Regions from separate parts of the Mus musculus genome. Here region 2 is reported to be linked to region 1. Evidence: microRNA targets listed by miRTarBase, many of them from high-throughput screens and not tested one by one. Region 1 holds a microRNA gene; the other region holds the end of a gene's coding sequence.
The links. Region 1 holds the annotated microRNA mmu-miR-3064-3p (UGCCACACUGCAACACCUUACA, at 5,391-5,412, shown strand). A microRNA usually pairs through its seed, bases 2 to 8, with sites in the 3' UTR of a target mRNA and lowers its output. Matches are read on the target gene's strand: a 7mer-m8 pairs with bases 2 to 8, a 7mer-A1 pairs with bases 2 to 7 and ends in A, and an 8mer does both.

Region 1 (8,283 bases):
TAATGGCGTTCAACCTTTTTTTTTTTTTTTTTTTTTTTTTTTTTGGTCCGGGAGGGTGGGCCGGGACCCGGGGCGGCCCGGCGACCTCGCGGCTGTTGAGGGAAACCCGGAGGAGTGTTTTCGGTCGGGAAGCGCCGCGCCTTTGAGGCGGTTCCCGGCGTCGTTTGCGCAATCTTTCGTTGGGTTGTTTTTTGAGGGGGGCCCCCCCTTCCGGTATCCCCGGGGGAAAGAAGGGGCGCTTTCGAGGTCCCCTGTGCCCCGTTGGGTGGCCTACGCCGGCGGATTCGGCCATGTGGCGGAGCCGCAGCCACAAAATGCCGGCCTCGGACATGGCGGCGGCGCCTTTGTTACCCCGCCCGGCGGAGGAGCTCAAAATGGCAGCGGCGAGAAAATGTGGCGCAGAGAGAAATGCGAGACAAAGAAGGAAGCGCCGCCCCAGCGGGAACGCCGCCCGGGCCGGGACTCCTCCCCCGGTTGCTTTCGGCTCCTCCTCTTTTTCTCCCTCGCGTTATATAATTTTGTTACCTTGGTTTGCAGCCGTTCGCGGCGTTTCCCTAGACTCGGCTCGCTGGCGCCTGTTCCCCTTTCTACCCTGTCCGCCGTGCTAGCCTCGTTCAGCTGCTCACATTGCCTTTGCGGCCCCGTTATTTCTTTAAGATTAGGTCCTTTGATGAAAACGGGCAAAAATAACCTTCCTAAGCTCCTCCCTTCTTGCCCAGCTCCTAGACGCTAATGCCTAAGCTCTGTGGGGAGAGAAGATGGAGGCTCTAACTCTTGTCCTTGTAATCTGGTCAGATGTTTGGGCTGTTTGCCACCTGATAAACCCACGATGTTTATTTGGCCTCAGTAGAGTGTGCTTGGGACTTCAGAAAAGAAACGCTGCCAGTTGTGGCTGTCCTTAGAATGACAGTTGGGAAGGATTCCAGAAGCACACTTTGGCTCTATCAAAAGGCAGCAGATGAAATGTGAGGGCAAACCTGTTCATGCAGTATCTTTCACAATGTGCCCAACTTTTGTTTTGTGTGTGTGTAGGTTTGGTGCACCTCGATTTGGAGGGAGTAGAACAGGACCCCTCTCTGGAAAGAAGTTTGGAAATCCTGGGGAGAAACTAGTTAAAAAGAAGTGGAATCTTGATGAGCTGCCCAAATTTGAGAAGAATTTTTATCAAGAACACCCTGATTTGGCAAGGCGCACCGCAGTGAGTTTATAAATGTGGCTTCTTCATGCTGTAACTCAGTAACTGCTTCTAGTCAATTAGATGGAAATGTAATAGGTGCCTTGCAAATGGAGAGTTGCTTGTGGTGCACTTCCATTGAATTTTTCTTGTGATATATGGTGCCCTATTTTAATCCTGTCACTGGGGAAACAGGTTTAGCAGTCTATTGGGCTTCATAGAGACTCAATTTTCATTTAAATAAGTATTATAAATTAATTATTAATTTTTGTTGCCAAGTAGAGTTCTTATTTATGGGTCCAGATTTTTAGAAATAAGTATGTTTAAAAGTTTATTGAGCTATAGGGAGCATGGCAGAAGTCTGAGGCTGAGATAATTTGTTTTTCAGCAAGAGGTAGATACATACAGAAGAAGCAAGGAAATTACAGTTAGAGGTCACAACTGTCCAAAACCTGTTCTGAATTTTTATGAAGCAAACTTTCCTGGTAAGGACTAACTTTCATCTTTATCCTTTCATTTCCCCCCCCCCCCTTGCTTATAAATTTGTTTTTAAAATGGTATTGTTGGTTGCAGCGAATGTCATGGATGTGATTGCAAGGCAGAACTTTACTGAACCCACTGCTATTCAAGCTCAGGGCTGGCCAGTTGCTCTCAGTGGATTGGATATGGTTGGAGTAGCTCAGACTGGATCTGGGAAAACATTATCTGTAAGTCTAGGAAAACTTGATAAATTGTGGCAGAGGTGACCTTAGATATATAACTATTTTAATCCAATTTCTATTATTTTTACTCTTCAATAGTATTTGCTGCCTGCCATTGTACACATAAACCACCAGCCATTCCTAGAGAGAGGTGATGGGCCTATTGTAAGTATTATCTTAAGTTTCCCACCATATTTGCTAAAACTCCTTTGACTTTCATATAGGGAATATAGGGTTGCCAGTATAAACTAGCCACTTAAAATTAGTATCCAGCCCAGGCGTGGTGGCACACACCTTTAATCACAGCACTGGGGAGGCAGAGGCAGGTGGATTTCTGAGTTCCAGGACAGCCAGAGCTACACAAAGAAACCCTATCTCGGGGGGAAAAAATTAGTATCCAAAGACAGTTAGTTGGATCAGCCAATTATAGATACTTGTCATGAGCCTGATCAAGATCAACTACCACAAGGAGAGACCAACTTGCAAAAGTTGCCTTCTGGTTTCTCCATGTGCTTCCACACACAAAAATTTTATCCTGAGAATAGTGCCTGGGAGGTAGAAACTGGAGAATTCAGGAGACACTGTCTCAAAAAAAAGTCTTATGACCACCTGAATTCTAATTCCCAACACACGAAGACATAGGGTCTTAGTAAACTGTTTTATACTAAACACTTTTTTTTGTTTTTCAAACTTAGTGCTTGGTGCTGGCACCAACTCGAGAACTGGCACAGCAGGTGCAGCAAGTGGCTGCTGAATATTGTCGAGCTTGTCGCTTGAAGTCTACTTGCATCTATGGTGGTGCTCCCAAAGGACCACAGATTCGTGATTTGGAAAGAGGTGTGTGACCATAAAGGGGGATCTTTGTCACTGATGGAGATGATGGTTTTGTGTATTATAGTTAAAGCATCTACTCCTTTTTATTTATTTAATTAAAGGTGTGGAAATCTGTATTGCAACACCTGGAAGACTGATTGACTTTTTAGAGTGTGGGAAAACCAATCTGAGAAGAACAACTTACCTTGTCCTTGATGAAGCTGATAGGATGCTTGATATGGGATTTGAACCCCAGATAAGGAAAATTGTGGATCAAATAAGAGTAAGTATCTTTATGTTATCATAAAAATCAGTTCTAGGAATGCTCTTAAGATTGAAGTGTAACTTGCTTCCTTAAATCTTCAGCCTGATAGGCAAACACTAATGTGGAGTGCAACTTGGCCAAAAGAAGTAAGACAGCTTGCTGAAGATTTCCTGAAAGACTATATTCATATCAATATTGGTGCACTGGAACTGAGTGCAAACCATAACATTCTTCAGATTGTGGATGTATGTCATGATGTCGAAAAGGATGAAAAGTGAGTTTACATTTTTACAAATTGAGAAAAATCTTACATAAACTAAGAGTAATCAATTCTGAAAATTGTCTCAAAATAAAATTAAGGTAGTGTGCTATATGTTCTTTTAAAAGTCCATTTGTTGGTGATATGGCTTGGTGTGATATGAAGAACTTGCTTGGCTTGCATGAGGAAAACACTCATAGTTTTTGAACCTAGTCACTACACAAGCACGCATAAAGTGATACACCTGAAAATCTGTATGTGTGGTGGCTTAGTGGGTTTGACATTTGGATTCACTAAGCAAAAAATCAGGGTTGTGTTTGGTTTTGTTTTTATATCCTTTTAAAAATGGTGAGTTTTTCTTCATCTTTAGGCTTATTCGTCTGATGGAAGAAATCATGAGTGAGAAGGAGAATAAAACTATTGTTTTTGTTGAAACCAAAAGAAGATGTGATGAACTTACCAGAAAAATGAGGAGAGATGGGTATGTGGTTTCCTGAGTCAAAGCAGACTTAAAAGTACTTTGATCTGGGGCTAGTGTTTTTTGGGAATCATGCGCTGTGATATAGGGGTAATTGTATGGATTCGTTCCAGTGACTTGTAGTAGGCTCTGGGTTGCAATGCTTAGTGGGAAAACACTTGGCCAAGATGAAGTACAGTGGGAATAGATATTGGTAGAGTCTTGACAAGAGTTTTAAGTTGGGTATACTACTGATAATTTAATTCTTGGTATAGGTGGCCTGCCATGGGCATCCATGGTGACAAGAGTCAGCAGGAACGTGACTGGGTTCTAAATGGTATGTATTTCAAATAAGATTAGTTTGTAGCTTGATAACATCATTTGCTTGCATTAATGATTATTCATGGTTGTCTTTATAGAATTCAAACATGGAAAAGCTCCTATTCTGATTGCTACCGATGTGGCCTCCAGAGGGCTAGGTTAGTACAAACTCGAATTCATGGCTTGGTTTCCCAGAAGATCTCCATGTAGTTTTTTTTAAAGAAAGTTTATTGCTTTCTTTAACCTGCATTTTTTCTAAGTTTTTTTCACATAAAGGTGCAGTCTTTGTGGCAAGGCCTAGGCATGACAATCGGAGGACTCGAGGGGGATGGAGGACTAGTGATCGGCTGGCTGCTTCCAGTCGATTAGAGAGGTGAAAAGCTGAAAGTGTGCCAGTAATCTTCAAAGGGCAGAACATACCACCTCTGCCCCATAAACTGTTCTCTCCGGGGGAAAAAAATGGAAGTTACCTCACAGTTCACTGCCGTGGTATTTCATCTGTCCCATGCTTTGCATGATTGCCATGGTACAGCATTGTTTCAAACTGTTCACTGTGATCTGTGGGTCTTTGAGTTTCAGTGAGTTTGCTGAAATGTCGAAGAAATATTTCCAAACTTCAATGTTCAATGAAATTTTTGTTCAAGTTTGAAATGGAGAGAGCAGCTTTAAAAGCCTTTTACAAATTGGTGAGTACTGGCACATGAGACCTAGAGCAGGACCAACTTCTCACACATAGTCAGTGGGAAAAGAAAGTGCCTTGAAAGTTCCTCCCTCACCTACACAGTAGTCGTCATGTCGAGACCTGCCAGAGAGAGACACATTCTCAAGTGAATCCTGGCTTCTTGGAAGCGCTTGCCTAGACGAGACACAGTGCATTAAAACAACTTTTGGGGGACAGGTATGTTTTTCTTGCAGCTGCAGTTGTAAGGTCTTGGCAAGACAAGCAGTGTGGCCAGAGTTTTGAACTTCTGATGAGTGTAATGCAAAGGACCTTTACATTTTTGTTAAAAGGTCCTCAAAAATGAGCACATGAAGAGATTGCTGAGAAACTTTTAATTGGCCCTACTGCGCAGAAGCATTCAGATGTCACTTGATGATCTGTAAGGGGACTGTCAATTTGGGAATGTGCTAAGGAGAACACACATTCCCTTGATAGGCTGTCAGTGGGTGGGTGTTAAGACAGCTGACATGTGCAAATTTTTTTGTTGTTTTTTGGGTGTTTTGGTTTTTTTTTTTTCCTACCCTGCCCTTTTTTCCTACCTCAATGGTGTTCCTACAGGAAATGGATAACCATTTTAACTGTATTTTTTTCAGCCCGTACCTTCTTGGGAATACAATTGTCTAACTTTTTATTTTTGGTCTGGCTGTTGTGGTGTGCAAAACTCCGTACATTGCTATTTTGCCACACTGCAACACCTTACAGATGTGGAAGATGTGAAATTTGTCATCAATTATGACTACCCTAACTCCTCAGAGGATTATATTCATCGAATTGGAAGAACTGCTCGCAGTACCAAAACAGGCACAGCATACACTTTCTTTACACCTAATAACATAAAGCAAGTGAGCGACCTTATCTCTGTGCTTCGGGAAGCTAATCAAGCAATTAATCCCAAGTTGCTTCAGTTGGTCGAAGACAGAGGTTCAGGTAAGGATCTTCGTAAGAGATGTTTCTGGTAGGTGGCAGTTACCTCTTGTCTACAAAGTGGGATCGGAAGAATGAGTACTTCTTATTTTGAAACCTAAAGAATCTAAAAGCACTTAAGACCCAACATAAATAGAGCTATCTAACTCTCTCCTATCTTACCACACTTATGCCACAGATAAAAATTGATCAATTTCCACTTACTTTCTTGACAGGTCGTTCCAGGGGTAGAGGAGGCATGAAGGACGATCGTCGTGACAGATACTCTGCAGGCAAAAGGGGTGGATTTAATACCTTTAGAGACAGGGAAAACTATGACAGAGGCTACTCTAATCTGCTTAAGAGAGATTTTGGGGCTAAAACTCAGAATGGTGTTTACAGTGCTGCAAATTACACCAATGGGAGCTTTGGAAGTAATTTTGTATCTGCTGGCATACAGACCAGTTTTAGGACTGGTAATCCAACAGGGACTTACCAGAACGGTTATGATAGCACTCAGCAATATGGAAGTAATGTTGCAAATATGCACAATGGTATGAACCAACAGGCATATGCATATCCTGCTACCGCAGCTGCTGCGCCTATGATTGGCTATCCCATGCCAACAGGGTATTCTCAATAAGACTTTAGAAGTATATGTAAATGTCTGTTTTTCATAATTGCTCTTTATATTGTGTGTTATCAGACAAGATAGTTATTTAAGAAACATGGGAAATGCAGAAATGACTGCAGTGCAGCAGTAATTATGGTGCACTTTTTTCGCTATTTAAGTTGGATATTTCTCTACATTCCTGAAACAATTTTTAGGTTTTTTTTGTACTAGAAAATGCAGGCAGTGTTTTCACAAAAGTAACTGTACAGTGATTTCAAATACAATAAATGAAGGCAATGCATGGCCTTCCAATAAAAGATATTTGAAGACTGAATTAAGTGAAATTGTACTTTATTTTACATATATAATGTCATGTACAACTTGGCTTAGATAGTGTTTTTGGGGGGGATTTTTGTTTTGGTGTTTATTTTTACACAAGGAAAGTTGACTACTTCCCATTCCTGGATTTAGGAGAGGAACTCAGAAGGCCCTTAGGATGATCTGTTTGTATGGGAAGAAGTTAGAGACAATGGATTTTATAATTCCAGATTTATTGGATAAAAGCTTTGTCATTTTTCAGTATCAGGGAAGTAAGTCATTTAATAGCCTATTTTCCTTAAGAGTGAACTACAGGACAGTAACTATATAAATACATGTTGATTTCTTTTGCAAAACAGTTTTAAGTAATGACATTTTTGCTTTATCAAAATTTTATTCCATCTCTTGGTTTTGTTGTCAACTGCCGAAATGTGCGAAGCTGAAAGACTGTTAGCCCAAGAGCTGTGTGCACTGTGTCTTTAGTGCAGGATTACCTTGTAGGTTCCTAGTCCTCGAGGACTTGCCAGAGTGCTTATAGCCACACCTGGAAGTCAGGAATGTCTCCACATTATTTCAGGGGATTTTAGGGGTCTTGTAGGCTAGTCACAAGGAAGACGACATAACCAAAAGCACAGTAAAGTTTTCGGGTTAGGTTCACTATGGGCTTAACAGCTAGAAGGATTGGGGGGAAAGCTTTAGATTTAAGTAGGATCACCAGCAAACAGCTTTGTTTCAGAATGGCTATAAGTAGGTCTAAATGTCTTCCCAAAAAATTGGTGTGTTTTTTGCCCAGGACAAAAGTCTTAAAGGAAGTTATTTAACTTTTTGTTTTTAAAATGGGCTTATTGTTAATGCCTTATTTATAAAATGTTAAAACAAAATAGAATGTGCTGGGGGTGGGAGCTGGGCGTGTTTTCCAGGGCTGATAACATTGAAAACTGGTTCATCCTCTAGTACTGAGTGGTTTTCAATGGCATGGCTAGTCAGATTCATGATTTTTAAGTATAGGTGTAGATTGGAGCATTTATTACATATTTTACTGTTCAATGTCTTAATGTGGACCTTTTATTTTGTAAATAATTATGGAAATGATTGTGGGGCTTGGAAAAAATTACCTTTGAAGTTTTAAAAGACAGTCCACTTTTTAGCATGTGTGTTGTGTCCAGCCTGTGGTTGTCTTAACTAATAAATGTGATTTTTCTCCCCATTCTCTTCATTTATTTATTCGCGTAGAGGCCTCTTACCTGGGTTTTTGCACCCCCGCCTTCCCCATTCCAGCTATCCTGGAATTTGATACATAGGCCAAGCTGGCCTTGAAGTCAGAGATTGTCCCTTATGCATATGTTAACATAGGAGTGAGCTACCACAACAGTCCTGCACCTTATAATCAAACTCCAGTATCAAAAACACCCCTTTGTCCTAGTCAGGTATTAACTGATTTCTACGAGAAGGGAAGTACAGAGGTTAAGAGCACTGCTCTTCCAGCAACCATACGGTGCCTCACAACCACCTGTAGTGATGGCCTCTTCTGGTGTGTCTGAAGACAGCAACTCACAAATCTTTAAAAAAAAAAAAAAAAATTCTTTTTAAGGAGGTGGTTAATAAATTCCCGAAGCCCTTTTTAAGACCTGGTCACCCTGTCTGTCCAGCCACACCCGGGAGAGAGTGGAGTGGCCATTGGTGATAATGTTTGCCAGCATTAGTATAAACTAAAAGTGCACAACACATTCCCTTGGAG
Region 2 (7,641 bases), not on the chromosome of region 1:
GATATTCAGAGGCTACTGGAGAGAAAAAAAAATCAACAAAAATCCCAAAAATGATTTTAGAAGGACTAGAGAATGACTAGGTCTGAGCCAGTTCTGGGTCAGCCCAGATGTGCTGGCTGCTTCAGCCCAGTGCTACCTCCTAACTCACCTGAGCTGAGTAATTGCTCCTCAACACCCTGCACTCCACTCTCTCTGACCCTGAATATTCGCTGTCATTTAGACTACCCCCCTCCCGCCCCCACTCTCACATGCACTACTCAGCCCTAACAAAAACTGTAGTACCCATTTGTTCCTGTTGTTATCGTTTTAAAGAGAAAAATGTTATGGATTACTACTTAGTGTGCATGCCTGGAGGGGAAGATAAAATGATGCTAATTTCCTCCCAGGAGTTTGGGAAATCATATTTCCTTCTATCCTGACCATCTTTACCTCTGCCCTAGCTAGGGAGTGAATCCTGTCGATCTTCCTCCCATTTTACTACAACCCGAACAGTTGATGGCTCTGGCTGAAGAAGCATGAAATACAAAGTTAAAAGAACGCACAGCCGCCCTAGTGTAGGCTGCTCATGCCTTATCCCCCAGGCAAAGGTGGAGAGTCCTACTGATGCAGGAGTCGTATGCCAGGATCTGACTTACTCTTAGAAAGGTAAAAAATTAGTTTTCCATCACCAGGCAAGTACTGCAAGGAAATTAGATTCAGAATGTAGACAAAGGAGGCTATAAACTTTCAGGATCATTTATCCATAATTCAAACTTTATCTAACTTTACTTTCACAACCTTTGCAAATATCACACAAGTAATAACATCATAAAAGCTTTAAAAAATCTATTGATAGTTAAGAAACTTAGTGTTCATTCCCCTTTGATTTAATCTGAAACTAATAATTATACCACACAACAAATATGGTATGTTTAAATATCAAATATACATCTAAATTAAAATTCCAGTGATTTTTTTTAACTTAAAGACCATAGGGTGCTCTTTATATCCACTATAAGAAAAACATTTGTTTTTTTCAACCTCTGCAGGAAGATAATACTATAATTATATAGAATGTTTTAGAAAAACAAAATATTTTTGAAATAGTAAAGTCTCTGATATCCCTGGGAGGTAGGTGATTATTATTATACCCAATTGTCTCATGGGTAATCTGAGGCACAAAGGTTAAATGACTTCCCCCTAGATAAAGTAGTTTAGGAATTAACACTCACTACTGATCCTAAGCTGGCTAACAACAGCTTTGCTACAGGAACCTCTTCTTTTAGCCACAAGTCTCCTTTTTCAACTAAAATTTTACTTAAAAGGGGGTCCTTTGTAGATATACAGAGGATCAGTTCAACTTAGTCTTTTTCAACATGTTACATCTAAAAACAAAAACAAAACAGAACCCCCCCCTCAAGTCTTAGATACTGAAAGTTATTTTATTTTGCTCAGGAAAGACATTTAAACAATCATGAAATCAGAGCAAATCTGATCATCTGGCAATAAACAGACTGAACATTTCTCAAGTACGTCCTGATTATACAAGTGTTTCCTCACTGTCTAAAAATCTAAGTTTATTGACGTTTCAGATATACAATTTCAAGATCATTTTCCAGAAGAAAACGTCTTTTAATATTGACATGAGTGCCAACCTCCTCCAAAGTGTATTCAGACACCACCCCATGGTTCTAGCACTAGTACTGAATCTTGTCTGCATAGGGCATCGTATCACCTCGACCAACAAATGCTCTTGTTATCCTGATGCTTTCTCACACACTACTACTGAAAGATTTGAGGGGTAGAGAGAAGTGGATTACATCCAGAAATAGTCAAGGAGTCCACAGAGTTTATTATGTTTGCAATAACCAACACATATGCTTTATATATATAATGCCCTACATATATATATATATACACACACACACACACACACACACACACACACACACACACACATATATATTAACTTCTACAGATATTCAGAAAGGGAAGCCAGCATCATGTGCAAAGACTACTTCCCAATCTGCCCATCTGAATCAACTCAAAGCAATGGAATAAACAAGGCAGAAGTTCTGCAATGTCAACAGGGCAGTGCTTAGAAGGATTGCCATGGCACAGCTGCTCCTGGTTTCATACACGCTGTGTACCTCATACTTGTGTCCACACACACAAAGCAGAAGGAAGAGAATTATTACATGACATGATTTTGGCAAGGCTCAGATTCTTTCTCCTGAATCCCCTGACTTCATCAGTCTGTACTTGAGGGTGTTTGAAAGTTTCAAAAGAGGGAGAAAAAGAAAGAAATAAAAGGCACTTAACAAAGACAAAGGCCTGAATTGAGCATGGTTTAGAGGAGTAATATAAGCATTTTACCAGAGATAAGAACTTATTTACAACGAGATAAACTTTTCCCTTAAAACTTTATAAAATAAAATTGCATAACATGTTTGTGATCATTTATCTACTACTGTACTTTTCTCTGCTTTGTTTTTACAAAACCAAAAGCACCCTGAAAGCAAAACCAAACAAAGAGCCGCACATGCACAACTAGAAATCAAAGTGCCCTTCAGAGAACGTGGGTCAGCAGAAGCACCGTGCTGAAGCACAGGGCAGTGCTCAAGTCCGGCCTGGACTATAGACTTCTTTCTTCTACTTTCAATTTGAAAAATAAAACAAAACAAAAACCAACAAGGGGAACAAATCCCAAACTTCTCTAACAATACGAGGACCAGTGTGCTTTTATAGTACACTCCTAAAGTAAAGTACCCTAGTTCTTCTACACAGGGTCAAAGGACATGACAAAGTCTCCTACAAATAAAGCAGTTAAAGTCAGCCAACACAGGCAAAGATCATCTTCCAATGTAGCAGCAAGTAGGACAATGAGTTCTAGAGACATTCCCAAAGAACAGAGTTCTCATAACCAATGGCAGTCGCAATAACAGTAGGATTTTCATTTTAGAAAGTCTTGAATCAAGGAGAGGTGGGAAGGGCTGTGGGAGAGGACAACAAGAGGAGAGAGAATAGGGGTGCCTACCCTTTCCATCTCTGCATAGTAAACAATTTAGATCTGCTTTGGGAAAAAATATTCTGGATTAAGATCACTTTCAATAAGCTGTTTCCAAGCAGGTGTCAAACCCACAGTCAATATATACCCACAGGTATATGCCCAGTTCTTTCCCCAGTGCTGGGACCCAAATAAGCCTTATTTATTGTTTATGACACAAAACAAGATAATTTGGGCTAATAACATCCATCAAAGGGGTGGTGGGCATGAAAGAATGTACTAATTGAATCTTCTTGATTTCTTCAAAATATCAGGACTTTGTTATTATACATTAACTTGGCTTCTTTTCTCCAAACCTTTTCTCCAGATTGTTTTAAAATCATGATTTTCACTCTTTGTTCTCAGAAGCAGGAGAAGAACTATAATTTGATTTTAGTAGAGATTATTGCTTGCATTTACTTTGGAGGCTCTGAGTGAGCATGACACTTGGCTCGCAAACAGTCTCCAGCTGTGGTCCAGCACTGCTGCCCGAGGACAGCGCTGCTGACTGTTATTGCTTGTGAATACTGAGGATCACCTTTATATACAGTAACAGCTTAGACATCACATCAGTGAAGGCAATTTCAAAGATAAGACAGTTGGAAACAGACAGTTTAATATTCCTGAATCAAGGACCCCATCGAATGGGACCTACGTGTGCTGATTTACTTCTGCATTTGGATGTTGCTAACGTTCTTTAGTGATACACACTGCTCTATAGATATCCTTTCCAGTTATTCACCATTTTAAAAATAACATAATTTGACTTTAAGTGCAAAAATACAGTATGAATTGCAAGTCTCTGTTAAAAAATAACCAACTTATATGCTTGTTTAGTAATAAAAACTGTAAAGACAGGTAACCATAAAGTATGGACACCATTTTCAATGTTATGATATAGAAAGAAATGTATTTACATTTAGAAAGGACTTTGATTCACTTGTATAACATGAAAGGGTTGCTGGACTGGGGATCTGGCAGCAGTCCTTAAGGAGTCAAGACTGACAGAAAACAGGATATATTTTACACAGCATAGTCTCAGAGCCCAGGGTAATCTTATAAAATGACATGGGAAAGAGAACCATCAAGGGTCTTCGTATAGCATGGTTCAGAATCGATGGATTTAAGAACCTACAATTATTGTTTGACTTTTAATATCGATTGATTTATATGAATATGTATGTGTCTGCAAATACACAAATACACAAGTATCAGCAAGAAGAGACACTAACACACATGGACTTCTCTCTGGGTAGAGAAAATGAAGTACAGGCTGCCTTCCTCAACAGACACCCCAGTACAGCAATTTATGAAGTATAAGCAGGCCTGTGAAACGAAGTTTCCTGGTGCTGGCGTAAGAGCTGATCAAGTTTCTCTAAGAGACCTTTCAAATGAACCTTAACGTGCTAAATTCAAGTCAAACTTCTCTGCAACATCCCAATATCTTTCCAAAATATCTACTGGGGCTTACATAGCCTCCTCATTTGTTTTATTGGTAAAGTAAATTTCTACAGTCAAGAAATTATATCAGTGATTACTTTCGTTTGTTTTCCTTTTTTCTTTTCTCTCTCTTTTTTTTTCTTTTTCTTTTTTGAGACAGGAGGAGGGTGGAGGAGCTCCCAGACCGACCTGGAGAGCTGGGATTTTCTACTGCAGGTGCCGCACACAAACAATGCAATGGGGCAGGGAGGGGGGCAGTCGGGGCACAAATGAAACTTGAACTAGGAAGTGGGAGGACTTAGAGCGGAGAAGAGACCATTGTAAAAGGAGGGGTAAGGAGGGGAAATCTATGCTTTTTATTTTAAAAAAGAAAAAGGAAAAAAAGAAAAAGAAAAATGTTAGTAACAAAAGAGGACAAAAAGAAAAAAACACAGCTCACAACCCATTCTGCACCAAACCGGAAGGAGAAGAGGCGCGAAGGAGCCTGGAGCAAGGGGCCCCAGTTTTTTGAAGAACTTTATGAACTTTTTAAAGATTATTTTCATATGGCAGCAAGTGACATTGAAGAACTTGCTGTCAGGGACACCTGATATGGAAGTCCAATAGATTTTTAATTAATTGAACATTAAAAGACAATAAGACAGTTGGAAACAGACAGCTCTCATTGTTAGTCCAGTAGAGACTAGCATGGGACTTGCTGCTAAATACTTCAGGCTGGCCTCAAACCTGAGATCTTCCTGCCTCAGCTTCCTGAATTCTAGGATTACAAGCATGGGCCATCATATCTAGTTTCAATGTTCTTCTAAAAAAAAAATCATCTTCCTTTACTGTAACGAGTTCTTGGAACTAAAGCTTTCAATTATTCATTGACTTTTTTGCTATTAAGCACGCCATTGAAACTTTGAAGTCAAATTATAGGCATAAAAATTGGAGCAGGTCTGCGGTTGGTTATTATAGTCCTAGAGGCTTCTTGGGACTTTTGCTCATCAAAGGAAAATGGGGTCTGGTTAACACTCTTATCTGAATAAACTTAAATGATACAGAGTAATATGTAATGAGATTATAGAAGCAATCTTGTTATTACCAGGCTAGTCTGTCACCATATATAAACTAAATTTGTATCACTCAGAGCTTTTTCTTGGATAGTCTGAAAATACTCAGAAGTTTAAAATTCAAGGACACCACAAACATAGCTGAGGCAAAATAAAATGTATCCCAAGAAAATTGTGTTTTCCCCTTCACACCCTTCATTGCCTCTATTCGCATATGAAAACTAGAATTAACGAATCTTATAATCTGTAGGCTGACTTGAATATTAATATTCTGAGTAAGTCATAGTAAAACTTTTAAGATCCCAAATGCTGAAAACATCCTGCGCTGGGCATGGGTCATAAAGCTTCATTGTGATAGTTATAACAGGTGGTCCTTTGTGCACATCCTGTGCACATCCGTATTCCTATTAGACTTCATCCCTTTAAAAATACCACTTCAGAATGAAAAACAGTCCACTATTATACATACGCTATTTGTTTGACCCATGAAGAGACAGATGCTGTGCACACTCCTGTTTATATCAACAGCTCTAGTCACCTAAAGTACCGCTAGTGAAAGAGCACTGTGCAGGGAGGGAACTGGGAGTTTGCAGTTCTTGGCAGGCTGCAAGAGAGATGAGCAGCAAAGCAGCAGCCCAACAACAAAGACGCACATGTCAAGAGAAAATGCGAGCAGTCACTTCTGCATATCAGGACGAGAAATAACTATTAACCAGTCAATACCAGATGACAAGTGAACTGTGGAAAGGAGTGCAGTACTTACTTCTGAATGGAGGGTGAAACTGACCCTTTTATAAAAAGGGATTATCTACATTTTGTCTCGTAAGAGCACAGGCTCCTTTTCCTGACTTTAAAAACCTAGAAGCTATAGTACTACACATCACTGTGTCACAGCAGCTTTGCTAAAGTATCTTCAGGCCACTGACTCGCACGGGGACCTGCTATATACTGGAGAAGATTCAAGTTTGCTCAGGACATTTCAGGGCACAGTACTCTTCGGCAACTGTCTGGAGAGCCTCATGCAACTGACTGTGGAAAATCTGTCTACTAGACAGACATGACTGAGTCTCCTTAAACTGGGCTAATTCTACTTGTAGCTGCTTTTATTATGCACTTATCTGTAGAGTGTTCAGACCTAACCCCCAGGATGGATGGCCATTTACCCAAATCCTCTTAACTTCCTTCCTTCTTCCCCAGTTTTTTTCCTTTTCTTTTCTTTTCTTTCCTTTTTTTTTTTTTTTTTTTTTAAATACAGTCAGATTGACACTTCTGTGGGTTTGACAGCTGAGTCTGCTTTAAGTTGGTTAACATGGGGGCTTGGGTTTGAAAAGACCAAAGCTCCCTGACTTTGCACAAAAGCATCTCTTCCTCCTGCACTGGCTTTGCTCAAGTAACATTTTCTCTCTTTTCCTCCTCACCACAGTGCTTGGGACAAGCATGTAAACATGGACAGAAACAGCAGCCCTGTGACCGCCAAGACTTCCCATCAGGTCGGTCCCGCCAGCCAGCCAAGTGGTTCCTCTCCCCCTTGCTGGAAAGTCACTGAGGTTTCCGTGGTAACTTAGTGTCCCCTTTACTTTGGCCTCCATCTGAGAAAAGAAACATTAAATTGGTATGTTTTGCACATCGTAAAAAAGCAAAAGCAAAAGCAAGAAGAATCAGTTTATTGTGAATTACATTTCTAAAATGATAACCTTTACCTCACGTGGTGATGGTATTACAGAAGTTGATTCTGTAGACTGGTAGTGACTGAGAACTCTATGAAAACTATCCTGGCAGGTATGTACCATTCCATTTATTTACCTCATAACCATGTTCAATGCTGGGTTCTAAAGCAATCAGATCACACAATGCCCACCTTCAAGGGACCTACTCAATCTTTTGATTTCTTTGGAAGATTAGGCCAGTTTTATTTTCTTATAATAAGTGGAATTAAATATTTTTCCATAACATGGTATGTGGTAATTCCCAAGTATTGTGAACATAGCACATTGGTGGTAAAAAAAAAAAAAAAAAAAAAAAAAAAAAAATGCAGCTATGTCTTTGTTTAGGTCCTAACCTTGCGGTACTAGATGCAAGTCTGCTGCTGGGCCACTTGGTTTCTTTTTTCTTTGGTTTTTATCG

Region 2: the mRNA of Ubn2 is a reported target of mmu-miR-3064-3p. The part of its 3' UTR that is shown has no 7-base or 8-base seed match.

Annotation. Positions count from the first base shown.
Region 1 is chr11:106,779,824-106,788,106 of GRCm38, reverse strand. Mir3064 (microRNA 3064) reads left to right here and starts at 5,348; the gene lies at 5,348-5,414. Ddx5 (DEAD box helicase 5) reads left to right here. Exons shown (of 13, transcript NM_007840.3): 2 at 1,033-1,198; 3 at 1,563-1,659; 4 at 1,748-1,881; 5 at 1,975-2,040; 6 at 2,571-2,712; 7 at 2,811-2,971; 8 at 3,055-3,227; 9 at 3,583-3,693; 10 at 3,945-4,006; 11 at 4,089-4,148; 12 at 5,414-5,638; 13 at 5,851-7,751. The coding sequence ends at 6,257.
Region 2 is chr6:38,501,703-38,509,343 of GRCm38, reverse strand. It overlaps Ubn2 (ubinuclein 2), which reads right to left. Exons shown (of 17, transcript NM_177185.4): 17 at 1-7,106. The coding sequence ends at 7,057. Mir7670 (microRNA 7670) reads right to left here and starts at 2,019; the gene lies at 1,951-2,019.